Linked DNA regions of Oryza sativa Japonica Group. The protein of the gene in region 3 interacts with the protein of the main gene of each other region in a pairwise test. Links are inferred from orthologs where the notes say so. Each region holds a gene or a part of one and is shown on either strand. Other genes may lie near its edges. The genes, in order: glyoxylate/succinic semialdehyde reductase 2, chloroplastic; uncharacterized protein At3g52155, chloroplastic; scarecrow-like protein 3.

Region 1 (10,226 bases), about 20 Mb from region 3:
AAGGGTGTCGATGAAGCCAAAGCTGAACTTGAGGAAATAGTTCACTACCTCCGAGATCCCAAGGTAAATGCTTTTGAGCCCCTAGTCTTGAAAACTGGTAACATTGTCTAGCTGTTTGGATGCAGAGTTATCTGAACATGTTTCTTACAGGTTTGTTCCCCCCATCTGATAATGGTTTTATATTGCAGTTTTTGTTAATAGACATTAATATTTAAGAGGTTCAAGCCCAGTTGTCCAAGTGCAATGGATTAATTTTGACATACTAACGATGTAAAGTTTAAAACTGTTCTGCAATAGATTTATCTCTGACTTTCTTCATTGTACTGAATCACGAGGTATTGATAAGCTAACTCAGTTTATCTATCAATATCCTGATTGATTCAAAACCTTTGTTTGATTTCGTTGACAGTTTCCAGCTTGTTAGTTCTATTACATGCACGCTGTTACTTTATTTGGTAAATGCATTATAGATATACCTTTTCAATTTCATTGTTAATTCTAGGTTGTTTAGCTCACTTATTATAATTTAGATAGGGGTAAATTTCACATTGGACCATATATTTGACCAAGGTTTCACAATGGACAAGGACTAAACCAGCATTTTACCACATATCTTAGCATTTTTGGTAGTTTGGACTTTGGACTAGGGTTGAGCACATCAAGGGAATATGTGAGAAAAAAAGCTAATCCAAACAATCATTTTAGTGTTTCATAATAGTAAGATAAATATATTTAGAGAATTCCGTCAAATGGTATTTTAGCAAATCGAAAAACAAGTTTTTTCAACAGATCACAGGAAACAGTGATGTGAACATGTTCTAAAAAGGGCACAAATTAATCTACACAGACTCACAGAGGAGCAAATGAATAAAAACGAAATATAAATAGAACTTATTGATTAGATACCACTAAAAAGAATGAACAAAACATACAATGTGTTACCTCCTATTTTGGTATTCATCCATGCTTAACCACATAAAGTTCTCACATATTCTCTTGGTATGCTTACCCCTAGTCCAAACCACAAACTAATGAAATAATATACATGGTGTTATGTGAAAACATTGATTAATCCCTGGTACATTATGAAACTTTGGTCAAAATATGTGGCCAATGTGAAATTTACTATTTAGATAATGTGTGGAATTGATGTCCGGTTATGTCACATATATCTGTTTATGCATCGTTAAGCCCATAAATGGTGTGAGGATTTACCCCTCATTTTCATCACATGCATATGTTATACGGCAAATGACAAGCTGCTTCCTTGTTTTCAGCGTTTTACACGTCTTGGTGGAAAACTGCCAAAAGGTGTCTTGCTGGTTGGTCCTCCTGGCACTGGAAAGACCATGTTAGCAAGGGCTATTGCTGGGGAAGCTGGTGTTCCTTTCTTCTCATGCAGTGGTAGTGAATTTGAGGAGATGTTTGTAGGCGTAGGAGCTAGAAGAGTCAGGGACCTTTTTGCTGCAGCTAAAAAACGTTCTCCCTGTATCATATTCATGGATGAAATTGATGCGATCGGTGGGAGTAGAAATCCAAAGGATCAACAGTATATGAAGATGACGTTGAACCAGTTGCTTGTCGAGCTGGATGGCTTTAAGCAGAATGAGGGGATAATTGTTATTGCTGCAACCAACTTTCCTGAGTCCCTAGATAAAGCACTAGTGAGACCTGGGCGCTTTGACCGGCATATTGTTGTTCCAAATCCAGATGTTGAAGGCCGGCGGCAAATCCTAGAGTCCCATATGTCAAAGGTAATTCTTGAGAACTTTTGGTATCATGTTTGTCCAGACTAAGATGGAATGTCTTATATTTATCCTTATACACATATGGTTACAGGTCTTGAAGAGTGATGATGTGGATTTGATGATCATTGCCAGGGGAACACCTGGATTCTCAGGTGCAGACCTTGCTAACTTGGTTAATGTGGCTGCTCTTAAAGCTGCCATGGATGGGGCAAAAGCCGTTACAATGAATGATCTTGAGTATGCCAAGGACCGGATCATGATGGGCAGTGAGCGCAAGTCAGCAGTTATTTCTGATGAATCCCGGAAATTGACGGCGTACCATGAGGGAGGGCACGCCCTTGTTGCCATCCACACTGAAGGTGCTCACCCTGTTCACAAAGCTACCATAGTTCCCAGGGGAATGGCCCTTGGAATGGTGGCCCAACTCCCGGATAAAGATGAGACAAGCGTGTCACGGAAACAGATGCTGGCAAGGCTGGATGTGTGCATGGGAGGGCGGGTGGCGGAGGAGCTTATTTTTGGGGATAGCGAGGTGACATCTGGCGCTTCATCTGATTTTCAGCAAGCAACTGCAGTGGCAAGAGCAATGGTAACCAAATATGGTATGAGCAAGCAGCTTGGCTTTGTTTCTTACAATTATGAGGATGATGGAAAGAGCATGAGCACCGAAACGAGACTCCTGATTGAGAAGGAGGTCAAGTGTTTCGTGGAGAATGCTTACAACAATGCAAAGAATATTCTCATCAAACACAACAAGGAGCTCCATGCTCTAGCCAATGCGCTGCTTGAGCACGAGACGCTCACCGGTGCCCAAATAAAGAACATATTGGCCCAAGTAAACAACAAGCAGCAGCAGGAGCATGCTATTGAAGCTCCACAGAAGACACCAGCTGTACCATCATCTCCAGCTGCATCAGCTGCAGCGGCAGCGGCAGCTGCAGCAGCCGCAGCACAGCAAGCTGCAGCGAAAGCGAAGGGTGAAATCGCCGGTATCGGATCTTAGCAGTCACCAAATGATGTTGGATCGATTGACAGCTCTTGAGGATCACGAAGAGTTTGCTAATGCTGCTGCAGTCATCAATAGAACATATTGATTGTGTGTAAGCTGTTATTTCGTTTCATGTTCCTCAAGTGTGTGGTAAGAAAACATAAGAGAAATCATAACATTGTAGAAGGCACATTTAGACTCTGCTTGATATGTGAATTTTTGTATCACATGGCCACACACACGGAAATACTGTTTACATCCTAATAATTTTCAGCTACCTTAGACGTTGGATGGTTATACCTAACAGAGAACCTGTTGTATTTGTCTAGAATGGTAGCTCCAGAGTCCATTTCTTTAGCCCTGTGATGCTCCCTTGTTGTACTGTATGTTCTGCAAGTTGACAAAAGAAGTTTTTCTGTATCTTTGCTGAATTGCCGTGTAATGACAAACAGTAATGTTGGGGCCAGATACTCGCCAATTGCAGGTATTCTGTCATCAATCAGTTTTTTATTCCTGAAAAACAAGTATTACTTCTGTAACAAAATTGGGAGAATTGCCATGGTTTCAGTTCATTGATAGACAATGCTGCATCAATGGCAGCTGAACAAACATTTTGTTTCCTATGCATCAATGGCAGTTTTCACTTGCTCTGCTCCTTTGCCTTCAGCGCCTCGATTACAGCAGAGAAGTCCTGGTCTGCAAGCCCAAGCGATTTCGCGACCTTGTACAGCTCGTTTGCAGCTGCGACTGTAGGAATAGACTGGGACACCGATTCTGCCAGGGCCAATGCGAGCCTCAAATCCTGCCATGAAAAATCCAGTTTTTCGCAGTGCCACAGAAATCAGACGAGATGCAATTGTTGCTGGTTTTTAGTGCTGGCAACATTAACATGCAAGTAGGGGCTACCTTCTGCTGATGCTTCAGAGGAAAAGCAGTAGGGTATGCAGCTTTAACCATGGAAGGGCCCTTGAGGGAGAACATGGGAGCACTGATAGCACCTTGTGAAATAACCTGTAAAGGATCAATGTATGGTGTGTCCTAGATTAGATTCCTGTACTTGGGTATTTACCACTGAAGCACTGTAAGAGCTAACTAACCTCGACAAGAGTATTGGGGTCTAGGCCAACTTTTTCGCTCAGGAGCAGTCCTTCTGAAAACGAAACCATCATGCTGCAGTATTTTGCCAAGAAGATCAGAACTCATTCATTAATAAGTATCAACAGACTACAGGAGTAAGGTTGCTAGAATATTGAATGTGAAGGACTTCTTTGGTACCTCCCCATGACCATATTAACAACGAGCTTCATGTCTGCACCTTTGCCAACGTCACCGAGGAAAAATCTTGACTGATTTCAGAGTAAGGACAGCGTAAGTGCATTTCCTGGCTCAATATGAGGGCCTAAATGGAGTACTGATTGTAGATAAAAGAAGTTAACCTTGCCCATAACATCAAGGAGGGATGCCACTCTATTGTACAAGGACTCATCACCTTACACAAACGTATGGACCATTTCAGGTAACATAATAAGGAACATGACAGCTGCACACTGAAATCTCACAATTACAAAGCTTGGAGGTGTCAGGTGGAAGTTTACCTGCGGTAAGAAAGATGAGCAGCCCATCTTCTGCTGGCTTTTTTGAGCCTGAAACTGGAGCCTACTGAAAAGGTATCGAGTTAGCATTGGACCAACAGTACAAGAGCTGAAATCGCATCGCTAGCGACACATTGAGACAACACAATCAACAGTTGAACACATGACGAGTAGGGTACGATCAGTGGCAGGGACCAGAAACTACCTCAAGGAAAGATGCCCCAGTACTTGTAATGTGCTTGCCAATCAGCTTGGATGTAGCAGCGTCAACCGTCGACACATCCACATACCTGTGACAGAAAACACGATATAAGAGATAATGCTATCTAGGCCAGCACATTCTTGATGCTCCAGGCTTTCTGATGCCTTCTCACAGCAAAGATTACCCTTTCCCTGGGGCCATCCCCTGTGCAGCTCCATTGGCCCCGCATGCAACCTCAACCTGAGTGGAGGTACAAACCGTTAGACGAATGATTAGATCTGCCATGTGAGCTTTCACGAACACGAAATAGTATTGCAGACTGAAGAATTTTCTGAAACGAGGGCATATACCGCGCTCTCCGGATCAGCAAGCATCGCGAAGGTCACATCGCAAGACGAAGCAACATCGGCCGGTGAAGGCTCGTACCTGTAGGCAGGCAAGGCATCCTCTTTGTATCAAGCAAAGTGCTGTACATATCTTTTTGTCAAATAGAATTATGTCTTTTTTTTTCTCTCTCTTTTCTTTTCCCTGTCTCTCTGTTTGGGTCAGCATGAACAGTAATGACAGCAAATTTGTTATAGCTGTAAAGCCTCTGTGCTCTACAAGTGGATTACTTCTGAGTGGAATTTCAGGAAAAGAGCATATGTCATCGAAAAGAAAGTAAAGAATCACAAACGAAGAGCAAATTATGAACAATCTCCGTTTGTGCCTACCAATCCAGAGCTGCACTGCATTGCATTGCAGTGTCCACTGTCCAGCTCCAGAATCCTAATCATGGCGCACACTATTGCCTCACCCATTCAACAAGCAAGCAAGCAAAGCTAGCTAGCCAGCTAGATTGTTGATTCATAAGGGGAAATGGAAATGGAAATGGAAATGGAAATGGAAATGGAAATGCAACGGGTGGGGATGGCATACTTGGCGCCGAGGCTGAGGAGCGGGTCGCACTTGCTCCTGGTCCTGTTCCACACCGTGACATCGCACCTGCAGCAAGAGGAGACAAAACAAGCACACAACTGTAGAAGCATCAGCAGAAGCAGAAGCAGCAGCAGCAGCCATGAACACCATCGAAACCGTACAAGCAGAAGCTGACGAACTAGGCTCGAGACGAATTCCACAGGAGAGAGAAAAAGATATGTAGAACAGTAGTAACAGCTACTAGTACCAAGAGCAGAGTGCAAAAGGAAGGAGGAGAGCAGTTGCGGATTAGTTTACCCGGCGTTGATGAGGTTGGAGGCCATGGGTGCGCCCATGATCCCGAGGCCGAGGAACCCCACCTTCCCACTGAACCCTCCTTCCCCGGACGGCGACGACGAGGAGGCGGAGCAGGAGAAGACGAGGCGTGCTCCCCTGCCTCCGCCGCGTAGGCGCAGCGTGGGCGCCGCCGCCGCCGCCCTCGCGCACAGGAGGGAGGCCGCCGCCATCGCCGCCATGGATGCAGGAAGGGGGGAGAGAGAGAGATAAGGAAGGAGGCGCTGCTGCTGCGAGTGCGATGCGGGCGCGCAAAATCTCGTCTCGCGGCGGTGGTTTGGGCGCGACGCCGCCGCGCGGCTGCAGCGATGCGATGCGATGACGGTCTGACCCGACCCGGTCGAGCCGTGGTCCGGGCCCGGTCTGAGGCTGGCTACGACCTACTCGACCCGTTGTACGTGGTGCGTGGATGCCTCTGCGTCACACACGCACTCGCACTACTACAGTTCGATCGCGTCATCTTTATCCTCTGCATAGCCAACAACCACACCAAAGTGGCAATTCATACATGGCAAAATTTGCTATAGGACACCGAAAGATTTATGTGATCTTTGTTGTGAGACAGCCGAAGATCGTGTATTTGCTCGTGTACACTAAAAAAGTGGTAACTAGCTGCTGGACCCTCTTCTCATTATTTTATTATTTTCGGTCAAAATGGATTGAAAAAATTTAACTGTCAAAATGGATTGAAAAAATTTAGTTAAAGACAAATTTTCCCATGGGCCCACTTGTCAATCCCTCTTTCTCTATTGTTCTTCTTCCTCTCTCTCTCTCTCCGTTCATCTCTTCCTCTCTTTCTTCCGCCAGCGAGGACGACGAGGCGGCGGCGTGCTTGGACGCGACAACCTGCAGTGGGTGACGGCCTGCACGATGGCGCGGGCGCGGCGCGCGGGGTCGCCGCTCTTGAAGATGCCCGAGCCGACGAAGACGCCGTCGCAGCCGAGCTGCATCATGAGGGCGGCGTCGGCGGGGGTGGTGACGCCGCCGGCCGCGAACTGCACGACGGGGAGGCGGCCCAGCTGCTTGGTCTGCATGACGAGGTCGTAGGGCGCGGCGATGCGCTTGGCGTAGGCGAAGACCTCGTCGTCGTCCATGTTGCGGAGCGCGCGGATTTCGCCCATGACGGAGCGCACGTGGCGGACGGCCTCGACGACGTTGCCAGTGCCTCACAGACGTGGTGCGCGGCTTCCTCGATGACGCTGATGATGTGCTGTTCGGGCAGCTCGCCGCAAAGCACGCGACGACGCGGCGGCGTGCTTGGACGCGACGACGCGGCCGGGCCACGGCGAGGTGACGAGGTCGATGAGGTGGGCGGCGTGGGAGCGCGACGCGAAGAAGTCGAGCCCGCCACCGCCGCCGCGCACCGCGCCGACGCGGAGGGCGTCGCCGGCGGCGCCGTGGGCGATGCGCCGCCGCCGCCGCCCCGCCGTCCGCCGTCCGGGCCGGCCGCCGTCGCCCTCTGCTCCACTGCGAAGAAGAAGAAGAGGGGAAAAGAAAAGAAGTGAGAGGAAGAACACTGTACAGGGGTATTTTGGTACTTACACAACTCTTTCTCTCTCCATTTTGACCAGAAATAATAAAATAATGAGAGAAGTGTCTAACAGCTAATTACCACTTTTTATAGTATTCCACAATATTTAACCTTGTACGACACATTTGGGGAAAATTTTCCTCCGTACAAACCTATCCACTAGAGTTTACATGAGAAAAGAAGAATTTTGGATGATCAGTTTTGAATTTAAACATAATTCAAACCATCATATCATGTGTTGCTGATTCATGCCTTCAAATCATCAATTCACACATTTTGGTTGGGGTTTTCACCACGACGGCTTCTTCTATTCTCAAGGTACCACCTCTGTAAATATAAATGCATAAGTAATAGACATGTTCTTCAATACACAACTTTTGCCGTTGATTTTTTTTACAGTATATTATCAACAACTATGAATTGGCATCATGTAAAATTAATTCCAAATATGAATCTAATGCTATCAGGCAAGGAATTTACATGTAAAAACGTAAACTGAGCGTCAACTTGACATGAAACAACATCCAGTGAAGAAAACTTGCTGCTTACTTACAAATATTGAGAATTTCAGAAATATTCCCTCCATCCTAAAATATAGTAACTTTTGGTTGGATAGGAGGACATATCCTAGTACTACGAATCTGGACAGACCACCTATCTAGATTCATAGTACTAGGGTATATCTCATCCAATCAAAAGTTGCTATATTTTGGGACGAAGTGAGTATATGTTTTTGGACAGAAGGGGTGTTGTTGTAAGAATGTGAAGAACTACTACATTGTGTTCTATTTATTTCTTTTATCAGAAAACCATTATACTACACGATTTCATATTTCTTCTATTCAAGGATTGATCATACATGATTTCCTATTCATCTATTCCAGGGTTGATCTTCTAATCATGGAGACAATTTACAACAAGAAAATATTTGTGAGAATTGGATTCATATATTGTTTGACTCTTCTTCATCTCCATGTGATTATTACTTGTACCATTAGTATGTTGTATTTTAATTTCTCTTTTGTGGAGTAGGCATATGCTCCGGCCTTCCTTCACTTGGGAACCGGGAGAAGTGGGACTTAAGACAAATCATTGCACTGCATTGGAGGGATAGGTCTGAATTAGCTTTGCAAATATTCTTCCTCTTTTTACCTTTGTATGCAGAATATGGCATGTGCCTTCTTTTTCTTCTCTTTTTTTTTTTGCAGTATACACTAGTAGAGCTGAGTGCCACTCTGGTATGTGCTGATGTGCAAATGGAGTACCCTATCTTTCTGGGAAAAGTTAAAAAGAAAAACTTTACTCCAAAATCTCACCACTCTGTAGACTCTGTAGGATTGTTCATTGTGTAGAAATTTCAAAGTAAATGGTAGTATTCAATCCCTTCTTTCAAAGATCTTCAAAGATTTTTTTTTATTCTTATAGAATTAAAATCATCCAAATTTCCTATATTTTTCATAGGACTCGAAGTGGTTTTTAGGGCCTCTTTGAATCGCAGAAATAAAAAAAGAAAGAATAAGAAAAACACATGATTCTGATAGGAATGTAAGTGCAAAATGCAGGAATGACCATTTGAAATGTAGGAATTGGAAGAAAGAGATAGACTCAAAGGAAAATTTATCAAGAGATTAGAGTTCTTGCTAAATTTTCTCCAAAATCTCTATAGGATTGTCCATTCCATAGAAATTTCAATGAATAGGATAGGATTTTATCCTTTGTTTCAAAGGCCTTTATAGGAATTTTTTCTAAAGCGTTAAAATCCTCCAAATAAGTTCTTCCTCCAAATCAAAGGGGTTTTTAATGAATTAAAGCTCCATGAATCAAAAACAAACATATCCATTGCATAGCATTTGGCCGCGTTTATTCAAATTCAAAGGCCTGTCAAGGTGGAGCCTAAAACGGAAGTTTGCAGTTGTGGCAGGGGATCTTTTTCCGTCTAAAAACCTATGTGATATGACCTCTTAGTTATGTAATCTTGCAATACTTAATTAGCAACCTTATAGTTTTTAAAGCTTCATCTTAATTGAACAGGATATTAACACACACACACACAAAAATTGTAACAAATAGAAGACGTCACCGTCCCATTTTGATAATACGGTGCTGTCTTACAATACACATGGCGTGGACTATGGTACACGCCGCACCATACACAGGTGTCCTCCACAGGAGAATAGAACGGTGTGATTGTGACATCAGCACATGAACTGCAGTGAGAGAGAAAAGATTTCTAGATCCAACCCATGGGCGACGTTAATTAATAAATTGTCTAATATATGCAAACCCATCACCATTCTGATGCTAAAGTTAATTAACAAACATGTTTGCAACGTACATGTTGGAAGGGCACAGCCAGGGGTTAATTAGCTAGGTGCCTGGGTTTTAGCCGGTCGACCACGTGATTCCTCCAAAGTTTAACCCCGGCCGTCAAAACAGGAGCTCAATGGGTAATAATGTACTACATATTTTAATGCACGACGCCATTGATTTTTTATCTAACGTTTGACCATTCGTCTTATTCAAAAAATTTATATAATTATCATTTATTTTATTGTGACTTGATTCGTCATCAAATGTTCTTTAAGCATGACATAAATATTTTCATATTTGCACAAAAAAAATTGAATAAAACGAATAGTCAAACGTTAATTGAAAAGTCAACGGTGTCATATATTAAAAAACGGATGGAGTACTAGATAGTCTAAGCTTCCTGGTTATTCCTTAATGTGCAGACTGTCGCGCGGAAATTTTGCAAGGCATTCGTAGGAACTAGTTAATTAATTTCCACGAAAATCGGCCTCAAAACTTAATTAGATGCATATTATTTATTTTTGTAGTTAGATTAGAGATATAACAATTACATATTTATATATGTATCGAAAGGCATTGTCATATTGTTATAATTCCTACTATA
Region 2 (10,382 bases), on a different chromosome or scaffold from region 3:
CGTCGGCGGCGAGAAGAGCTGAAAGAGAGAGGAGGAGACGGGCAAGCGTCGGCCTCCGTGAGGGCGTCCTGAAGGTGAAGGGGCGAGCCAACCTCACCGTCGACGCCAAGGACAAGCTCCTCCTCCAGCTGGAGAGGCGAGACGCCGAGAGGGCAAAGACCTCCTCGGCCGCACCACCCACAAGACATGTCATCGCTGCTCCGGCAGTCCGGCCAAGGTGAAGAGAAATGGGGAGAGAGGAAGAGAGAAACGAGAGCGGGAGGAGGAAGAAGGATGGAGATAGAGAGGATAATATGTGGGCTCCACACTTTTTTTTTGTGTGAATGACTAATGGGTTGCACACATTTTTTTTAATTATAATGCCACGTAAGCGTCACGTCAGCGAAACCACTCTCCAAAACCGTTGAAAGAGTCAAATTATACTGGTTTCAATAATCAGGGGTCGTGATATATGGTATTATGGTTCAGGGATACGAATCAGATTTAGGCACTAATTAAAGGAGTGAAAGTGAACTTATTGTTGGTAGCGCTCGTAGAGATTCTCTAATAAACCAAACACAAAGAGCCCACTGTCCATAATCTCCAGCCCAGTAACAGCCCAATGGAACAAATTGCATATATCCACGGAAGACTCAACAACAGCCACAGGCGGACACAGTCCTCACTCCTCAGCGGCTCAGCGCAGAGGTCTCGTTCGTGCGGTGTCCCCTGCTGCCGCCCATGCCGCTGCGGCGCGGCGGAGCCCTCCCTCTCAGCGCCCCGCGGGCGGCAGCCGGTGGCCTCCGCGGAGGCGGCGGCCGTGGTGCCGCGCTTCTCCACCCGACCTGCTTGTCGCCGCCGGGAACAACTGGCCGAGCCTTGGGCCTCAGGTTAGCTCTGCTCATTGTTGTCTTCTATCCGTTACTTGAATTTTGTTATAAAAAAAAAAAAAGAAACACCAATTGGCAATTGGGTTCCAATTAGACTAAGTTCAGTACTAGGGGCATCAGAAATTGGGATACTTGGGGTTAAGACTAATTCAGAACTAAATTGTCGGAGCTATTGGGAGGCTGGGCGTCAATTTTTACTGTCACTTTTGAATATGTACCTTGTACCAGTTTCTTTCGAGCCCGTATGGATTGGGGGAATTTTGGGGGAGCAGCAGTTTTACCTTCTCCAATTCATTTGCGCACATATTTCTAGTTGGGGGTGTGTGCTGCGACAGTTCCGTGGCACTTTTAGTATATCTGGTTGTTTATGTTTATGATGAGTTCGTGCTACCTGAACCATGTCCATAGTCGGGATGTTCATGGATTTAGCACATTTTTTGCTGACTGTTAGTCCGATTATATTGTCTGTTCAGATTATATTGAAGTTAAGAAGCATATAGGTTAATGTAAAGCTAGGCACTGGGCTGATGTAAGTTGGGGGTTTGACTGTTTAAAATGAATATAATATGGGCTCACCCAAACAAAAAGGATGGAATAAAGGGAATTGCGTTGCACTGCATGTTGTTAGGAAATGCACGCCTGCAGGTTGTGCTCTTGAAGGTGACATGGATGCAGACTTTCGACAAAGTATTGCATTTACCTTCTTCAAACAGTATTGTGATTATGCCACTAGGTTCCATACAAAATATAAGAATTCGGCACGTAATCGTTATATAATATCAATTTGTGGTATACATTAGATCTTATTACTGATAGTACCCATTTTTAGTTTATATGGTATCTACCGCGTTGTATGCTTATACCATTTTGAATAAACAAAATAAAACAATAGAACTAATCCATCTGTCAACAAATATATGACACTTTGGACATGATAAGATCGCTAGTGTGTAAATTTGACCGTCAAAATAACTGTAATACATTGTGTTACCAAAACATTTTTTAGTCACTTAATTGTATTATTTTGACATGAGAAATGTAAGATAGTTCTCTATGTTGTAGTGGTCAAAGTTCAGAATGTTTCCCCACAAAATAAAAGTTCGGAATGTTTAACTAGTCAAATTCGAAGTTTCATATTCTCTGGGGGATGGGAGTAGACGAATTGCTAGCTTCAAAACTGAAGCCTTGTACAAATTGGGAAAAAAAACATGATTGGCGCTGCGCAATCAACTTCTTAAAATCTCTACCCTGTAGAAGCTTTGGCACTTTTGACTCAATATCTCCACTCTGTAGTTGCCAGATGAAAAGAACCAGATGGAAGCCAGTCTTTGCCTTGGAAACAGGTGGACCATCTAACGCTGACAACCAAGATTTCGAAGATGATGGTGGCTTTCTTGGCAGAACAAGGCTGGGAAGACTCATCCAGGCTGCTGCGAGGGAACTACTTGAAAAACTGAATTCTGCCAGGAACAAATCCCCCACAAAGATTTTCCTTGTGCTCCTTGGCTTCTATACCGCCAATGCATTGGCAACAGTCCTGGGGCAGACTGGTGACTGGGATGTTTTTGTTGCTGCTATTGTAGTGGCTACCATTGAGGGAATTGGCATGCTCATGTACAGAAAACCGGCCAGTAGGCCTCCTGGACGATTTTGGTCAATGATCACAATGGTGAACTACTGGAAAGCCGGCGTATGTCTGGGCTTTTTTGTGGACGCGTTCAAAGTGGGAAGCTGAGTTTCCAAATCACCTTCTTATATGTACTTACAAGATTTATTCAGCTGACAATGATACAACGAGTGAACTCCAAGGGTCGAAGCTGCTCCTGTGGTGTTGTATGCAGATAGATATGCTGTGAACTTTACTTCGGCTATAAAATGTACATATGATGTAGTCTTGTTTTGTATGAAATTCATGTAGATATATTATACTCTAGTTTGATGCCCATCTGTTCCTATAGACAAATAATGAAGCCTGTTGTAAGATGACTCTGTAGTTGGCTATGTCCACACCAGGCACACTATTTAATTAGCTACTTGTCTTATTGACTATTTTCCAAAAGGTTATGTTTTCTTGCTAGCTAGTCTCTCCTGTTCAAACAATGACTGAACCAGGACATATGTATACAGTCGCTTCTGTTTTGAATTTCACTTAGTTGGTTGTAATAATTTTATTTTGAGCTATAGTGCTAACCAGGACATATGTATACATCACTGCCTAATTTTGGCCTAAATTCGAAAATTTTCCTATATTTAGAATCCTTTTTGTCCTGTTATAAAATTCACTGCCTGAATTCAGAAGACCTATGTCTAAATATTCTTTTTGGCTTGTCAAATTAATGTGTTCTACGTAGGTCAAAACAGAGAAATTGTGTGGCATTGTTGTCACTATTTGAAATTTTAAAACATGTGGAATACTAAAAAGAAAACAGAAGGAGAAAAAAAGTGTAAATTTCATAAAATCCCATGTTTTGGGTACAAGCTATAAAAAACCACAAATATTATGTCATTTGGCATTAAATTCTAGGTATTATGGTTTAAATGTTTCACGAAATTCCACTGTTATGCATTTTTGAGCACGGATTAAGGCAAAATTCAAAAATATAGAGTACCTATAAAATTTTAAAAATTATCAAAAATTGAATAAATGTAGGGTTTCATGATACACGGAAACAAAAAAAAAACCCTGTGATTTTCTGCAACTTTCTACCTATTTTTTTTCTGAAATTTACTTTTAAAAGAAAATCAGGAGCATCTAGAGTCATCGTCTCCCTATCCATCCATTATTCTCTTCTCCGATGAGTCCATGACAAGCGACCGACCACCTCCACGACGACGACCCACCACCAGCAGCGGCGGCGGCGGCGGCGGCGGAAGATGAGACCTCCACCCGCGCCGCTCTCCGGCCGTGCCTCCCCGCCTCCCCACCTGCTCCTCCTCTCCAACTCCTCCCTCGCGCCGTCGCTGCCCACGGTCGCTGCCGCCTGCCGCATGCCTCCCGCCGCGGCGGCGGCGGCTCGCTCCGTCTCCGTCTCCGTCTCCACCGCCGTCGACGCGCCCACGGCGGCCGCCGCGGAGCCCGCGCGAGGGGACGCGGCCCCCGCGCCGGCGGCGCCGCCGCGGCGACGGCTCATCCTCCTCCGGCACGGGGAGAGCGCCGCCGGAGGGCGCCTCACCAGAGGTACGGGGCCCCCATTCCTTCTCTCTCTTGCTTTCCTTTCTTTCGAGAAATCGGATGGTTTACACCTGACAGTGGATAGGAGCATCAGCGATTTCTCTTTCTTGCGATAGGGAATATGATGTACATTTCTTTGCTATGCTCTGGCTGCTCAAAAGATTGGATGAGATAGTGCACTTGTTATGCTGTTTGACACATTTCTTTACTAGTGTTGCTTGCAGCAGAATTACAATGGTCCGATGAAATGAAACAATGTACTTATTCTAGAGAAATGTTGCTACATATACTACTCAACAAAAGGGTTATTGCAGTTATCAAAAGAAATGGTTCCAATGCATTTACCATTTGTGTGTTATATACTTCACAACATTAGTTTAACGGCCAACTCTTTGAATAAACTAGGTGATTCCCCGCACTTTGCTGCGGGAATTAGTAAGCGATTCTCAATATTTTTTTTTGACAGTCAAGCTAGGAGTAAAACGGGAAAAAAAAACATCAGGGTTAATCAGTACTTATTGTGAAACAAACAAATGATACTCGTGCTTTATTGTAAAACATATTGATGATAAATATATGTTAAACATTATAAAAATGATAGATATACTTATTAAAATATTATGCAAATGATGTGAGGGGTGCTGATTGGATATGCTTGCATGTTGATTTGTACAATTAAATAAATTGTAAATAATGTTGTATGCTTGCATGAGGTTAAATATGTAATTATTGCAAGTGATGATGTGGCATGGTTGTGTGTTGAGCTTTATACTTAGTGAGCTATAACTTTATAGAAAGTATAGATGTGAGAAAAGGGAACCGGGTGAGAAAGAGTCAAAATCGCCATATGCTCATTTGTTGTTTGTTCGATTTGCTAGTTAGTACGCACCATTTCGGTAGCCATGCAGTAGTATGATAATCCCGGATGTCTTTGTTGTTGATAATTACTGGCTCTTGCATTTATTTCTAAAAGACTAAACACCATTTGGCATGGCTATCAATGTCAGATCATGACAGACCTCTAAGCAAAGCAGGGAGAGCTGCTGCAATCAGTGTTTCTAACAAGCTACAACAGATGGGATGGATACCTGAGCTCGTCCTATGCAGGTAACAACTTAGCTTTTGTAAGAAAATCTGTATACATTGATTATGTAGAAGGCTGCTAATGGACAAAAAAGCTTGAAAGGCTGCTAATGCAATATGAGTGTTTTTCTGGAACTTCTTTCCGGTCAGCAGGGTGCAGATTCACATTAGCTTTTTCTCTACCTCCCCCTTTCTTTGCTCTTTCTTTTTTCAGGTAGGAGTAGATCTTGTGTCGCCATAATTGATATGGTATTGCCACGTGAGTTATGATTGCCTTGGATGTGTAGTGGTTCATCATATATACTCTACCGAGTTCTTTTTGGTGATATCTTGTTTCAGTGGAATGTACATGCCTGGAATACTTCTCTATTATTCATTATAAGTATCATCTTGCCCATCCAATTATTTGAACTTATGTCTCTGAAATGCCTAAAATCACATAAATTGTTTTTCTGGTATGCATATAAATAGAATAGGCCATCCACCTTAATTTTTTTTTATCCTTCTTCAATACAGTGATGCAACTCGTACAAAGGAAACTCTTAAGATCTTGCAAGACCATGTTAAGGGATTGTCTGAAGCAATCGTTCACTTTATCCCAAGTTTCTATTCAATTGCAGCAATGGATGGTCAAACTGCTGAACATTTGCAAAAGGCAATTTGTCAATATTCAAGTGATGAAATCCTAACTGTAATGTAAGTCTTCTAATTTGTTTCCAATCATCCTATGCTTTGAATCTCATGCTCAGATTTTTTTTTTCTTCAAGTCCGATCATGACATTTTTGTAGAATAAATATTCAGGTGTATGGGACATAATAAAGGATGGGAAGAAGCAGCCTCTATGTTCTCTGGTGATTCAGTAGTGCTTAAGACATGTAATGCTGCATTGCTTGAGGCTGAAGGAAAATCATGGGTTGAGGTTAGTATTATTCCTGTGACCAAAAGTTGATTCCTTTATTTCCTAGTTTTTGTACACTTCTATTTTGTGTCTGATGCCATACCATCATTTGGATTACTTGTGAATTGTCAGTTGAATCTTACGGCGGGTTACATTCTTAGAGCTGTTATTGAACCTCCATTGAAATGTAGTTCTGTTGTCCTTGCATCATGTAACAGTGGTCCTAAAAGGCAATTTAGAAATCCAACTATAACATATAACATATGATGTACTGCTTGATTTCGAGGAAATCAATGTATGACAAATTCGAACCCTCAAGACTAAACTAATGGGGACACACAAATTTGGCAATGCAACTAAATTTTCATAGGCCCATACCTTGACAGTTGTTAATGTGTTATGTGTATGTGAGATGAGGAAATATTAGCATATATAACCATTAGTTGATCAAGTTTCAGTAGCTTATGCAACTTGGTTAGTCATGTGGAAGTTGGTCTTATGTGAGATTCATGAGGTGACTTGGCCTCATCCAATGTTTTCGGTTTGTTTGTTGATGTTTAGAAGAAATGTAAAATCAATAATCTAGCACCTTACCACATGGAACCTAAGGTAGCAAACATTGGTATTTCAACAACTCCAATTTTGTACTTAAGAACAATAAGTCAAAAAAAGATCAAATTTGTTATGCCGTTTAGCTCAATTCAAACAGTAGTTCATGGGTGCATGAAAAGGGTAGCATATTAATGACATTCTCAGAAGAAGAAATGCATGAAATTGGCTGGCTGGGTCTAACGTAAATGTAGTAGGGGTTTGAAACTAGTGAGATTGAGGATGACTTAAAACACGGCATTTATTTTCATTGTTTTGCAAGGAATGGCATCTAGCAAGTGCTTGCAACAAGAATGTCTTAGTTCCACCATTGCAAAAGTCAGTATTTTCAAATGCACACCCAAGCAAGAAGCTGGCCTGTGGCCAAATGCTAGTAGTGTAAGTGTGGTTGTACATGCAGCATACTAGGGCTCAAATTCTATAATATTTGGCAATGACATCTATCCATCAATTTTACAAGTGTACATCCACACTCTGTGGGACGCATTTGATGCCTCCAACTGGACATGCATAGTCATGTACTCATGTGTGCCCGTGGTATTTTGAGAGGGCGTGTCTTTAGGGGTTGTTTGGTTGATGGCTAAGTTTACTACATCTCACTTTGTCACAAGTGTGTTATGCCACACAAAGTGAGGCTAGCAATTTGTTGGCCAGAAGTGTGGCTAAGTTTCGCAATAATTTCAGTCTATGACGCGTAGGAACAATGATTAGTGTGTAGAAATTATTATTCCAATTATTACACTGCAAATTGAATTCCAAAATTGATAATACGCCTATTGTAACCTTTGCAGAAACACACACAAAAACACGTGCCACCGCGTGCATGCTGTGCACACATATAAGTATAGGCATGAAAGGCCATAGTTCTGTAAACACGTCAATTTGCTCGACATATTTTTTTTTAAATACTGAGTCTCTAGATCGTTTGGTGTTAGAAAATTTGCTAAATCTCTTTGCAATATGGTATGCAGGCCTTTTCGCTGGCTGGGCTTGGGGGATGGAAGCTTCATGGCATTGTAAAGCCATAAATCGTTGTAACTAAAGATAGATGCCATTTTTGTAGCTGTTTTCTTAATCCTCATTTAGTCATTTTTCCTCTTGTATAAGTTGTAACAATCGTTAGATCTCACCGAAGGAATAACATGAATAGATAGATGAGATAAATGAAAACCTCTAGATGCATTAAATACCAGTACTGTATCTGATAAAACCAAGTTTATAGAGCGGCCAAAAAAATGCTTGGTTCTATCTTATAGGTATAAGTTCACTTTGGCTACCTTGACTAGTCACCGAATCTTATCACCCAATTATTAAAACCGATGTAATTTATCTTTCTCAGTGGTTTTAAAACACGGTTTAGCTTACTAGCACCTACATGGAGGTGTTGATCTTATCTTCGTTCCACGTGATGCTTATGTGGCATTAGAATTAAAAGAATATACATGAGATCATTTGTCATTCACACAAACAATATTGTGGGACCCACTGACATGTGGGGTTCACATGTCCTCTCTCCTTCCCTCCTCCCTCCCTCCCTCTCCCTTATCTCCCTCTCTTTCTCTTCCTTTATCTTTCCCTTTGGCCGTCCGTGGGGAGCAGGGACTAGAGCGGTGGCGGTGGGTGAGGCCGAAGTGGCAGTGGCTAGCTGCAGGGCGGGAGCTAGAGCGGCGGCGTTGGCGCTCCACATCCACGTAAAACCTTTTCTTCCTTCCACTTCTCTTTTCTTCTCTTTTTCTCCAAGGTGGTCGGTGGTGGGCAGCAGGGAGAGAGCCAGGCGGCGATGCATGGCCTCTAGGCGCCGTTCCTCTAGCCATGTCACCTCCTCTTCCACCTTTGGTATGGCGACAGCGTGGTGAGTGAATCTGGGGGAACAAAGGAGCGTGCGGAGGCGGTCGACCAAGGGCAGCGATGACGGTCGGGTGTGGGGGTGGTGTGGGAAGGCAGGCACCCCTGGACCTACGGTGGTAGGCCTTGAGGCACTTCTTGGGGTAATTCATGTAGATGCCACTCATTATGTTCACCTCACTGGAATTTTGATATAATTTTATCTTCAAATATAAACCCCCAATTATCGTACTGAGCCCAATCCGAAATGTTCTCATCTTCTACTTCATCTTCTTCCATTTGAACCCCTAGCTCTCCGTGCAAGGTCCAACAATTATAGCTAGGCATGAACCCCGACTCAAACAAGTGGAAATGAATGGTTCTTAATGTAGAATACTCCTTTTGGTTTTTGCACTTATTTCATGGGTGAAAGTGCATTAATCCCCCTAGTGGGTTTTGGTGATTAATGACAAATGTGGTTAAGGGACTAATGAGTTCATTGAGTAACTTTCAGGTGCATTAGTCCAAGGTGTGGAAGATGGATGCTTGGAGAGCCCCCAAAAGTATAAAATCAAAGCGGACCGGAACTCGAGAAGTGCATAGGATAGTTTATTTATTGCAATCGAGTTTTTAGGAAAAACCGTACTATTAAGAGGGGTTCCAGGTGATGCTCTGAGATATCTCAAGTGCTCTTAGAGTAAACCAAGTGTCAAGTTTCCCTAGGAGTTATTTTTGCAAATACTCCATCTGTCCAAAAGTGCAAGTCCAGAACTTCATGTCTTCCAGGTCCGGAAGTTTCGGTCTTGTGAAAAAGATTTTTCCTAAGTGTAGTCCGGAAGTTCCTGTCTTCCAGGTCCGGAACTTCCTGTCTAGTTTCCAGTTCAAAATTGTGAGTAACGGCTAGATGACGTCACCTAGCTGTTATACATATACAACTCGTTTCCAGCTCGTTCTTTGGCTATTCCACTTTCACTTTTCGAACCTAGAACTGTTGCTAGCCTCTCCCAAGTGTTTTTTGCCTTCTCCACTCAATCTAGAGCCTAATTCTTGTGAGATTGAGAGATTGAGAGGGAGAGAGGAAGATTTGGAGATGTGTGAAGACTAGGATCTTGGGTGAGCACTTGGAGTATCTCGTGGGCTGTCATCTCGGTGCTTATAACTCTTGGAGATGATCTCCTAGATGGTTAGGTGTCGCCCGCGAGAATCCGTTGCATATTGTGGATGTCTCGGGTAAGTTTGTGAAGGATCTCCTCTCCTCCGAAAGGGAACGAGGTAAGTTAGTGAAGTTCTTGTGCTGAGATTCTAGAGGCTTTCCAAGTAGAGCAACCCACACTTGTGACAGATTTCTAGAAGTAGGTTGAGTTGGATCTTGGTGGTCACTCAATTCTAGAAATTTGCCTAGGGGTGTTTGGGGTTGAAGGCTGTGGATTTTCTCTGGGGTTTTTGCACAAGTGAGGCAAGGGGTTAATTGAGACCCAGCTCTTTGGAGTTCCTCAACAGAGAGTAGGATCGCAAGATCCGAACTTCGGAAAAAAATCGCTCTTGTCTCTTTCTGTGATGTTTCTGTGGATGATTCTGTGATCTATTTCCTGCTTAGAATACATGTGCATCATCTTGAGAAGATTGGCTTAGTCTCCTGCTTCGAAATTTGAATTTCATCTTTTATCTGTAACCCGGAAGTTCCTGTCCTAAGAACACCGGAAGTTCCGGGTTTGGCAGGCCGGAAGTTTCGGAGTTCCTTACTAGGAAGTTCCGGGTCTGTTTGAATTTTACTGCTGCGATTTGTTTTTAAGTTTTCAGGGACAGCCTATTCACCCTCCCCCCCACCCTCTAGGCTTCATCAGCACGTTCAATGGGCAACAGATAAAACCCTTATGCTTGTTAACATTGGCCACTCTCAAAAAATAATGCTCGCCGTCAATAAAC
Region 3 (10,334 bases):
TAATCGCATGGTACAACAACACACAATGTACAACAACAACATCTCTCTCTCTCACAAATGGCACAAACGCAATGCACATGCCCTGCCCCTGCCATGGCCGAGGTGGCCGGTGAACATTTATCAACGGGCACGCAAACGCAACTGCAGCTAAGCTACGAGTAGCTGCCTGCCTGCACTGCACGGGTCGTCACGGCGAAGGGAAAGGAGAAGGATGGGCCACCTGCGGGCGTAGGGAGAGTGAACACGCAGCGCAAGCGTCCAAGTCGCGGAAAAACTTGCTTGTCGTCTCGTCTTTTAATAGGGTGGACGGATCCACCGGACGCCAACACCCACTTCTTCGGTTCTTCCCCTCGTTTGCCCTTTGTTTTGGCCTTTGGAATTTGGATGCAGCCGCCCCCGCCCGCGGCTCCCTTGGACGCACTCGCCACCTCCCTTGTACTCATAGATACGGCGGCTTTAGCATGCTTTTACCTACCTATGTCATCACTTTTTATACATTTTTCTTAAGAAATACTAACCTCCGTTTCAAGTTAGAGCAGGTACAATACCAAGCTATAAACCAGCTACAAATATATTTTAAAAAGATAAAAGAAGAAAAAGAAGAGCAGCGGGCAGCACAGACTCCAAAACGTAATATGTGTATGACAAGTAGGACCAGATATTAATAGTATAGTAAGCAACTATTGTATAAATTGGCTATTACATTGGTTATAGATGATTTGGAGCTAGTAGTGGGCTATACTATTAAACTTGCTCTTATAAGACTTTTTAGCATTTCCCACATTCATATAGATGTTAATGAATCTAGGCATACATATATATCCAGATTCATTAACATATATATAAATGTGAAAAATGCTAAAAAGTCTTATAATATAAAACGGAGGAAGTAGCTCATATTTTGGCCTGAATTTGATAAAAAAGTAACTCTGTTGGTCAAAACTTTAAAACTTATGTCTTTAGCGATTTAAAAATCAACACGAGATATTAGTAAAGTAGAGGATACCGGTAAAACTATAAAGTTAAAATTTAGAAGGGATTTTTAAGCCATAAGGTATGAATAAATCATGCTAAGCAATTTATAGTTTTGCTCGGGGTTATTCCTACATGCGGTTACCGAGCTTATTGCAGGGGCATGATAGAAGTAAATAATCGGTAGGGTTTGATAAATTTTGTTTGAATTTTTTTGTTTAAAAAATGGTGGGAAATTTTCCACCAAGTAGTTCCTTTTTTTAGCATTAATTTGTCACAGTTTTGTTATGGTTATCGTACAGTAGCCGCGCTACTGTCGGGGTCGGTAAATATCCTAGAGATGGTAGAGTGAGGACAAACAGTACATGTAAGTCGAGTGAGGCCAGCAGGAGTGTTAATTCTGCGGTCAAACATGCATTGCGCATCAGAGCCATCCTAAGTTCTTTTTTACTCCGTATTATTTTTTCCCTTTAAGAGAGGCAAAACAGGACGCTGGATCACTATCTGTCCGTCTACAAGCAACCTCATTCTTCTCCCTTATAAAAACACATCCGAGTATGGAGCCCAGTGTCGTTGCCTATGTTTTTCCACCTTGTTCCACCTTTCAAAATATAATAATAGTTTTTAGGATTAGCAAATACTAAAGTTAGATAAAAAAGTTTACTCACTTTAATTATTATTTTAAAAAATTTAAATGTCTTAGATTTGCTTTTCAAGCATCTGATTGGTTTTGGAGTCATCGTCATTATTTTTCTAGTCAAACTTATTTAAGTAAAGTTTAATCAGGATTGTAAAAAATATAGCAACATTTTAAACGCAAAACAAACATTTTATCAAAATACATTTAATGTTATACTTAATTAAACTAATTTGGTGTTGTATATATAGATAAATTTTTCTAAAACATAGTCAGGCCTAAATAAGTTTATCTAGAAGAAAAAAAAATTAAAACGGCTTATGATATAAAATGGAAAAGGTATTATTAAGGTGCAAAATGTGGATCTTAAAATCTTTATATTCTACATTTTCTTTGTGCAGTGTATTGGGTTTTCCTCTCAGCAGCTAGCTCTAGTGAGCCTGCAGCAATTGAATGGGTTCTAGAGTTGTTTTCAGAAACCATCAGACTGACCGCGGGGGAGAGAGAGAGAGAGAAGAGGGTGGCAAGAAAGAACAAAATTAAAGGAGGAGGAGGAAGAAGAAGTGGGGGCGAGTTTTGTTTTGTTGTGGCGTCGTCGTCGTGTTGCGGGGATGGAGGAATAACGAGGCCCCAACACGCCATGCTCCTTCTTGTGTTTATTCTTCCTCTCGCCACCTCGCGACAAGAGTCGTGGGGGCTTACCGGTTTCTTTACCTTTACTGTATTTTACAATTATACTATTTATTATATATTGTCCCGAAAAAGCTATTTATGGTAGTACTGCGAGCCACCTTTTGCACATCCAACCCTGCATGCTCCCCAATTAGCAAAGCTAGTGTTCTTTCGGGGTAGCACAAATTGAATACTGCCTCCGGCTTTTAATAGATAATGTATTTTTGACCCTTTTTTTTATTATTTTTTTAAAAAATATAATTATTATTTATTTTATTATGATCTGTTTATTTCATTGAAATTACTTAAATAATAAGTATTGCATATGCTCTTTTTATTAATATATGTCTAAAAGTTAACAGTGACGTATATTAAAAATTAGAGAGAGTACTGCCACTGTCACGAGAAAACTCTATTTCTACTATATACACTTGGACCATTACACATGAATTAAAAATAAAGTATTTAGCATTCCTAATACTCCATAAGTTAAGAAGAACAAGAATGCATTCTTTTCTCTCTTAAAGTCGTATCTTTCTTGCAAGATTTTCTATGGCATATAAGAAAGAAGGCAAAATGCACCTTATATTTTAGCATAAATTTTGATAGCCTATGTCCAGGTAACATGGTAAAATTATTTTATTTCCTTCTCACTAGGTGTTGTTCTTTTTCAGATTATTCATCAGATTATTAAAACATATTATTTGCTCAACGCTTAGAAAATATTCTCTTAAATAGCTTTTTTACTGCATTGATTATACAATTATTTTAATCTACTTGTTAAGTTCATTTCTTTAATATTTATTTGTTCTTATAATCACTCCATAACCCGTAACAATAGTCTATTCAATAATCTAAATTAAACATGGCCTAATTTACAAAAACACAATAATCTAAGAAAAATGGATACACCCAAACTCATAGATAAAGCATTCAAAAAGAGATGATTTACACGCAAGCTATGAAAAACCGATAACGAGCTTTAGCTACTCGCCCATAATAAATACTTAATCCGTGACAACAACAACAATCTAAATTAAACACGTCTAAGTTGCAAAAGCACAGTAATATGACAAAAAAAAAGATGCTCCCGAACTCAGAAATAAAGCCATAAAGGATGGGATACCGATCGAAAAAAAAAAGAAGCACGAGGGTTTACACGTAAGCTAAAGTTAATACATAAGAAAAACCGATAAGAAATTCGGAAATTAGCGAGGTTTTCCGCTACTCGAGCAGAGGTAGAGTCGGTCCACGCAGATTACGGGAGAATAGAAGGGGCAGCGTGCAGTCTCGGACAGAAAAAAAAAGGAAAAAAAAAAAGAAGAGGAGTGAAATGAATGCTCGGGCCGGTGCCGGTGCGCGAGTGGAGACAAGCGCGATGCGGACAAAAAAAGCCTCCTCCGCTTCTTGTCGCCAGCGCGCGCACACAACCCCCCAAAAGTCCAAAGCGCAGGCCGCTACTACCACCAAACCCCATTTCGTTCATTTCACCTGCTCTCTCTCTCGTCCTCTTTATATCTGCAATTCTGCATCGTCTCCTCTGAAAGATTGTGAAATCCTCTCTCTTCTCTTGGGACGGACTAGGGACGCTGCTGCTGCTCCTCCTTGAGGTGAGCATTTTCTTCCTTCTCTTTTGTTCACTTGTGGTGGTATGCATGCATGCCGCTGCTATGCCTCGCCTCTCTCGATGCAAGTGTTGGAGGATAGGATAGGATGATTGATAGATAGATAGCTCTCGTCGTTGTCGCTCGCTGCTTGTGCTTGTGGGTTGTATCGCAGAAATAAATGGTGGCGATTTGCTTTTGTCCCGTTGCCTGAGGAAATCTGGCCCCGGTATTGTATTTTTGTTTCCCGAGCTGTTTGCTTCTTGTTTCGATCCTCTTGGACTTTTGGCGCCAGCTTCTTCTCATCGTCGCCTTCATTGCGCTACACTACTTGCTTTGCTTTGCTTTGATTATTAATGGCTTCTTCTTCGTCTCCAATCTAATTCTGCGCAGGCAGAGCTCGCAGCCTTTTGCACCCTCACCTCGCGGGCTCCACTCATCACAAAACCTCAAATGCGCCCGTGCTCGTAGAATCGATTGGATCAAAGGTTGTAGCTTTTTTGTATTTCAAGGTTTGGGGGGGTAGCGCTGGCGAGGCTGATGGTCCAGGACGAAGGCTCGTCGTCGTCGGTGACATCCTCCCCGCTCCACAACTTCTCCAACATGCCGCTCCACCCGGCCGCGGCGGCGTCGCCCACGCCGCCATGGATGGTGCGGGAGCTGCGTTCCGACGAGCGCGGGCTGTGCCTCATCCATCTCCTGCTCAACTGCGCCGCGGCGGCGGCGGCCGGGCGGCTTGATGCTGCGAACGCCGCGCTCGAGCACATCGCGTCGCTGGCGGCGCCCGACGGGGACGCCATGCAGCGCGTGGCGGCCGCCTTCGCGGAGGCGCTGGCGCGGCGCGCGCTGAGGGCGTGGCCTGGGCTGTGCCGCGCGCTGCTCCTGCCCCGCGCGTCGCCCACGCCGGCCGAGGTCGCTGCCGCGCGCCGCCACTTCCTCGACCTCTGCCCGTTCCTCCGCCTCGCCGGCGCCGCCGCCAACCAGTCGATACTGGAGGCCATGGAGTCCGAGAAGATCGTGCACGTCATCGACCTCGGCGGCGCCGACGCCACGCAATGGCTGGAGCTCCTCCACCTCCTCGCCGCGCGCCCCGAGGGCCCGCCGCACCTGCGCCTCACGTCGGTGCACGAGCACAAGGAACTCCTCACCCAGACAGCCATGGCGCTCACGAAAGAAGCAGAGCGCCTCGACGTGCCGTTCCAGTTCAACCCGGTGGTGTCCCGCCTCGACGCCCTCGACGTGGAGTCCCTCCGCGTGAAGACCGGCGAGGCCCTCGCCATCTGCTCCAGCCTCCAGCTGCACTGCCTCCTGGCGTCCGACGACGACGCCGCCGCCGTGGCGGGCGGCGACAAGGAGAGGCGGAGCCCGGAGTCCGGGCTGTCGCCGTCGACGTCGCGCGCGGACGCGTTCCTGGGCGCGCTGTGGGGGCTGTCGCCGAAGGTGATGGTGGTGGCGGAGCAGGAGGCGAGCCACAACGCGGCGGGGCTGACGGAGAGGTTCGTGGAGGCGCTCAACTACTACGCGGCGCTGTTCGACTGCCTGGAGGTGGGGGCGGCGCGCGGGTCGGTGGAGCGCGCGCGCGTGGAGCGGTGGCTGCTCGGGGAGGAGATCAAGAACATCGTGGCGTGCGACGGCGGCGAGCGGCGGGAGCGGCACGAGCGGCTGGAGCGGTGGGCGCGGCGGCTGGAGGGCGCCGGCTTCGGCCGCGTCCCGCTCAGCTACTACGCGCTGCTCCAGGCGCGGCGGGTGGCGCAGGGCCTCGGCTGCGACGGCTTCAAGGTCCGGGAGGAGAAGGGCAACTTCTTCCTCTGCTGGCAAGATCGCGCCCTCTTCTCCGTCTCCGCATGGCGCGGCCGCCGCTTCGACTGACCGCCGCCGCCGCCGCTGCCGCCGCTCGCCGCCGCCTTCCCGTATTTCTGCGAAGGAGACGCCGCCGCGACTAGATTACTTGCTGCTGCTGCTGCTGATGAACATTCATGGTTAAGCTAGTCTTTAATCTTTTTCTTTTTCATTTTTAGTAACTGTTTAGTTCCTTCTTCTGTTTGTGTCATCTGGCTTAGGTCCAGGTGAATTCGATGTCCTTGTGTTGTTTTGTTCATAGTGTGTGTGTGTCTCTCTCTCCGTTTTGGTTGAAATGCATAATTTTCCCTAGGAATCAATCAAGTGAAGTTTACTGAACAACTCCCTCCCTCTTTTTCGTACTACACTACTATTTCTGAACTACTTGCTCATCGGAAAGGCATGAAGGTCGTTGCATTTGGTACTAAAAGACAAGACAACAGTGCCAAACCTGAACGTACACTCCTACGTGAGTTTCGTATCAGTTACGTAAAGGAAATCCAGCAAAATTAAGCTCTGCCTGATGATGCCGATGACGACGAGAGTGGTAATCTCGTCCTGAAATACTATGACTTTGGATTTGCCCTTTTCTTTTCTCATGTTACGACGCTCTGAATTCTCCGTGGAAGAATTCAACTTTGGGCGTAGCAATTTCAACGTGTCGGAAGAAGCGGCCAAGATCGAGCTCACCTTGTCGGAAATTCCACGGAATCGGCAGCCGGTGGCGTGGCGTTTCCAAATTCCACCAAACTTCTGCCAAAGTTGGGAGCTCCAACCTCAAAAGCGTCCCTGCTTTGCTTTCCACGGTGAAATTGGTAGCACCACGCGTGATGTTAATGTCGGTTTCACCTCACAGATTAATCACCATCTAATCAGTCTCTCTTATCAAACATTAAAGAAGAAAAAAAAAAGATCGATCGAATCGTTCACCTGGAGCCAAAAGCTGTTGCCGTTTTACTAGCAAAGACGGATGCTCGGATCAGATGCTCCTTTCCTTTTCTTGACAAATGGCAAGGATGAATGGTTCCTTCCTCAAAAATTCGCCTTTGGATTATCGTTTTCACGGACCTGTTTGCTTCCTTCAGGTAACCGCATAGCTGCAGCCTGCAGCCACTGTGGATTCTACTTATTCTTCATGTTCTTCATACTAGTACTCCAGATATCATATTTGGATATCTGAAACTTTTCCTGATACACCTGTCCAACGTTTTCAAATATGTGATATTTAGAATTAAGTGGTCAAAATTGCATATTGGTCACTTCAGAAAGGTAAAAGATCTCATTCCTTTGTGACCTCTTTTTGGTTTTGAAAAAAAAACTACATTTTTTTGTAATTAGAAGAGAACGTGGAAGAGGAAAACAAGGGGTATAAAAGATCCAGGAGAAGCATGCAACCCAGCAAGCCTGGCTGGATGGGCCTTCGTGTCCTTCTAGATGGGCCCAATGGAGGCCCATAGTGTTCTGGTGTAATAATTGTTAAGAGAGGTCTTCTGTTCTCAATTATCAATTTTGCTATAGCTCACTCGAAAGATTTTTTTTTCTTATCTCTCACTCGATTTTCTCACTCAAATTTACAGTGCATTTTCTTGTAAGTTACAGTGTAACTTATGAAACTTACACTGTAACTTTTGTAAGTTACAATGTAATTTTTGAATCTTCGAATGTAAATTTTAAATTTTGTATTGGATTTGGTCTTTTTCTTGAGGATATGGTAATTTAGTGTCCATTATGGTGTTTCTTAATTGCTTTTTGCTTTTTATTATATCTATCGGATTTTAATCCAAAGATTAAAAATATGTGTGATACGATCATAAAAATCTTTCGAAAGATGTATAGGTACTCCCCTCAAATATTGTAAGAGGATGATCTGTAAGTGATATGTATTAATTAAGAAATCATATCGGACTCTACCTTTATACATGCCCTAACATGTGGATCTCTTGCCGATTCAACGAGTCAATCGCAGTCAACTTGTCATGTTAGCAGAAACCGTTTCCCAAACGACTGAATAAGTCAGTGTGCACCGGATTAAAGATGGGAGATGCTTTATACCCAATTTTACGTAGAGAGACGGTTTAATCAAGGAGCAGTTGATGGGAGAGGCGAGATAGACTTGTTCCAAAAAAGAAGGGACAGAAAGGTCCAGGAGAAGCATGCAGCCCAGCAAGCCCGGCAAGATGGGCCTTGGTGTCCTCTTAGTTGAGCCCAATGGAGGCCCAAATAAAACAGTCGCCTTCTCCATCGTCTCGTCTTGGTAGGTGGTGGATGGCCGGCGCGGGGATCGACCGCGTGACGGCGTGAGGTGCGGCGGCGGCGGCGGCCATGGCGCTCGCGCAGGGCACCGGCGACTTCTCCGTGGTGGTGCTGGGCTCCGACTTCGCGGTCGACGCCGGCGCCGTGCTCCTCAACCCGGCCGACCGGGAGGAGTGGCACGACTGCCTCCCCGACCTCTCCGCGCCCGCCGACGGCGAGGACTTCTCCGACCTCGAAGAGCTCCAGGTCGTCCGCGTCCAGGGCACCGACAGGGCCGGGAGGCGCATCGTCCGCGTCGTCGGCAGGTTCTTCCCTGGTGCGCCAAACGCCCTCTTCTCCCCACCTCTCCTTTCCTTTGTGGCTTTATCAGATTGGATCGTGGTTCCCTTCTGGATGTATCTATCATCTATGTGGGTGCGAATTATGTGAACTAAACAGGAAAAAAATTGGATCCTGGAGATTGATAGTTCATAGACCTTCTCAATTGTGTAGTAAATTTAGATTCTGATCCGCCTGCACTGTTCGGTAGATGCACCGAATTGAGTGTTTTGGACACGTTGAACTTGGGAGAGGTACACAGATTTGTTGAATGCTGGACCTTGAATTAATATATCAGAGCTCGTTTGCTAGCACTCGATCAATGGATGGTTTGATTGATCTTAACTAAATGTCAGATAATTCATTTGATAATTGCCTAGTTGGTACAACGTTTATCTCCGTTTTGCTGCCCTTCATTAGTGCCTGGCGCCCTGGCGGTGTATTGGAGCGGTTGCTGGTCATTTTTTATACCGATATTGGAAATAGCAAGCAGCTGTATGTTCATTTCTTGAATATAGTGTGCGGCTGCGACTGTCATGAAGTAAACCTGATGCTGTAATGCTCTTGTGTTAGGCCCTTACTCTTTTCTCATTGTCAACACTAACATAACATCTGCTTTTCGAATTCCAGCTCCTGTCATAGGTGGTGATCGTCTGAAGAAGTATGTTCTTCACAAGCTGCGCACCGAATTGCCAGAGGGGCCATTCTGCCTTTTGTACATGCACAGCACTGTGCAGTCAGATGATAACAACCCTGGTATGTCAATCTTGAGGGGGGTCTATGAAGATCTTCCACCTGAATACAAGGAGAGACTGCAGATCTTATACTTCTTGCATCCTGGGCTTCGCTCTAGGTTGGCCATCGCCACGCTTGGCAGGCTCTTTTTAAGTGGAGGGTCAGTATTGTCTCTAATATTTTCTGTTTTGCTGTTTCCCTATCTTATTCAGCAGAAAAATTAATGATTAAACTCCACCATATTGTTGCACCTCATAGACTAGGTATTGTAGTGGTAAGTAGACCTGTTTTAAATCGATAGGCAGGCTAGTAAATCAGCGTGCTTTCTTTTATCTGCAGTCTCTGGTACTGACATTTTGGTATTGATATTAGTTGAAACCTAAAATATGCCGCTAGCAATGGACACCAGAAGTTTTTTTTCTGACAGCAAGGGTTTTAGCTCTACCAGAACCTGCCTTACTGCAATTTGATGCACAAGTAATCTCATAACCATGCAAAACCTACTCAAAGTCTCAAATGTTACCCATACATTACTCTAGCAAATATCTTGAGAACATTTGTGAAATAGATCACTGACTTTTCCTCCTAAAGCATTTACATCTCCAGAACATCAGAAAACACCTGAAGTGGCAGCTGTACACTAGTTCTCCAAATTTTGCCTCTAAAAATATGCTTCCTTCAGAAAATGATAAGCTGAAAGCTGAAAACATATGGAAAAACAGATCTTGTACAAAGATGAGAAAACAGGACAAGATGCAACATACCAATCTGTGGCATATTATAATACCTCATAGGTTCGGTAGTGATTGTAGTGATAAGTAAACCTGTTTTAAATCGATAGGCAGGCTAAATCAGTGTCCTTTCTTTTATCTGCTGTCTCCAGTACTGACTTTCAGTATTAATATTAGTTGAAATCTAAAATTCCATAAGCTTTTCTTGCAGTTTGTATTGGAAAATCAAGTATGTTAGTCGGCTGGAGTATCTTTGGGGGGACATCAGAAAGGGGGAAGTTGAAATTCCAGATTTCGTGATTGATCATGATAAGATTCTTGAGCACCGACCACTGACAGACTATGGCATAGAACCAGATCCTCTGCATCTTGCTGATATGCCTGCTGTGGGGTACTCGCTCGGAAGGTATGAAGACAAATGGTCTCCTGAAGATCGATGGTATTCTCGCAATTACATGTGAGAATTTGATAGCTTGATGGTATTCTCGCAATTTGATAGCCGAAGCATTCAAGATTCATGTATATATAATAAAACTGTATGGTAATGTTGTGTGATTGTCAGTTTGTTGGGAA

Evidence for each region.
Region 1: the proteins of scarecrow-like protein 3 (region 3) and glyoxylate/succinic semialdehyde reductase 2, chloroplastic interact in binary tests that used the Arabidopsis thaliana proteins (3 or more experiments, as listed by UniProt). The link is inferred for Oryza sativa Japonica Group from reciprocal best matches to the Arabidopsis thaliana genes SCL3 and GLYR2.
Region 2: the proteins of scarecrow-like protein 3 (region 3) and uncharacterized protein At3g52155, chloroplastic interact in binary tests that used the Arabidopsis thaliana proteins (3 or more experiments, as listed by UniProt). The link is inferred for Oryza sativa Japonica Group from reciprocal best matches to the Arabidopsis thaliana genes SCL3 and AT3G52155.

What each region holds. Positions count from the first base shown.
Region 1 is NC_089035.1:22,655,841-22,666,066, forward strand, and holds glyoxylate/succinic semialdehyde reductase 2, chloroplastic, read right to left. Parts: upstream 6,033-10,226; 5' UTR 5,964-6,032; coding exon 5,746-5,963; intron 5,515-5,745; coding exon 5,449-5,514; intron 4,957-5,448; coding exon 4,881-4,956; intron 4,771-4,880; coding exon 4,715-4,770; intron 4,619-4,714; coding exon 4,534-4,618; intron 4,393-4,533; coding exon 4,332-4,392; intron 4,226-4,331; coding exon 4,173-4,225; intron 4,083-4,172; coding exon 4,012-4,082; intron 3,907-4,011; coding exon 3,834-3,906; intron 3,748-3,833; coding exon 3,643-3,747; intron 3,539-3,642; coding exon 3,377-3,538; 3' UTR 2,752-3,376; downstream 1-2,751. Other genes in the region: aTP-dependent zinc metalloprotease FTSH 5, mitochondrial, read left to right, coding at 1-63, 1,278-1,754, 1,840-2,751; probable pyridoxal 5'-phosphate synthase subunit PDX1.1, read right to left, coding at 6,561-6,902. UniProt on the Arabidopsis thaliana protein: Catalyzes the NADPH-dependent reduction of glyoxylate to glycolate as well as succinic semialdehyde (SSA) to gamma-hydroxybutyrate in vitro.
Region 2 is NC_089043.1:10,762,817-10,773,198, reverse strand, and holds uncharacterized protein At3g52155, chloroplastic, read left to right. Parts: upstream 1-3,632; 5' UTR 3,633-3,743; coding exon 3,744-4,047; intron 4,048-5,048; coding exon 5,049-5,148; intron 5,149-5,640; coding exon 5,641-5,820; intron 5,821-5,926; coding exon 5,927-6,044; intron 6,045-7,603; coding exon 7,604-7,660; 3' UTR 7,661-7,984; downstream 7,985-10,382. Other genes in the region: ycf20-like protein, read left to right, coding at 721-869, 2,163-2,604.
Region 3 is NC_089035.1:42,359,639-42,369,972, forward strand, and holds scarecrow-like protein 3, read left to right. Parts: upstream 1-3,746; 5' UTR 3,747-3,891; intron 3,892-4,278; 5' UTR 4,279-4,425; coding exon 4,426-5,754; 3' UTR 5,755-6,066; downstream 6,067-10,334. Other genes in the region: uncharacterized protein, read left to right, coding at 8,047-8,293, 8,926-9,190, 9,973-10,222. UniProt on the Arabidopsis thaliana protein: Probable transcription factor involved in plant development.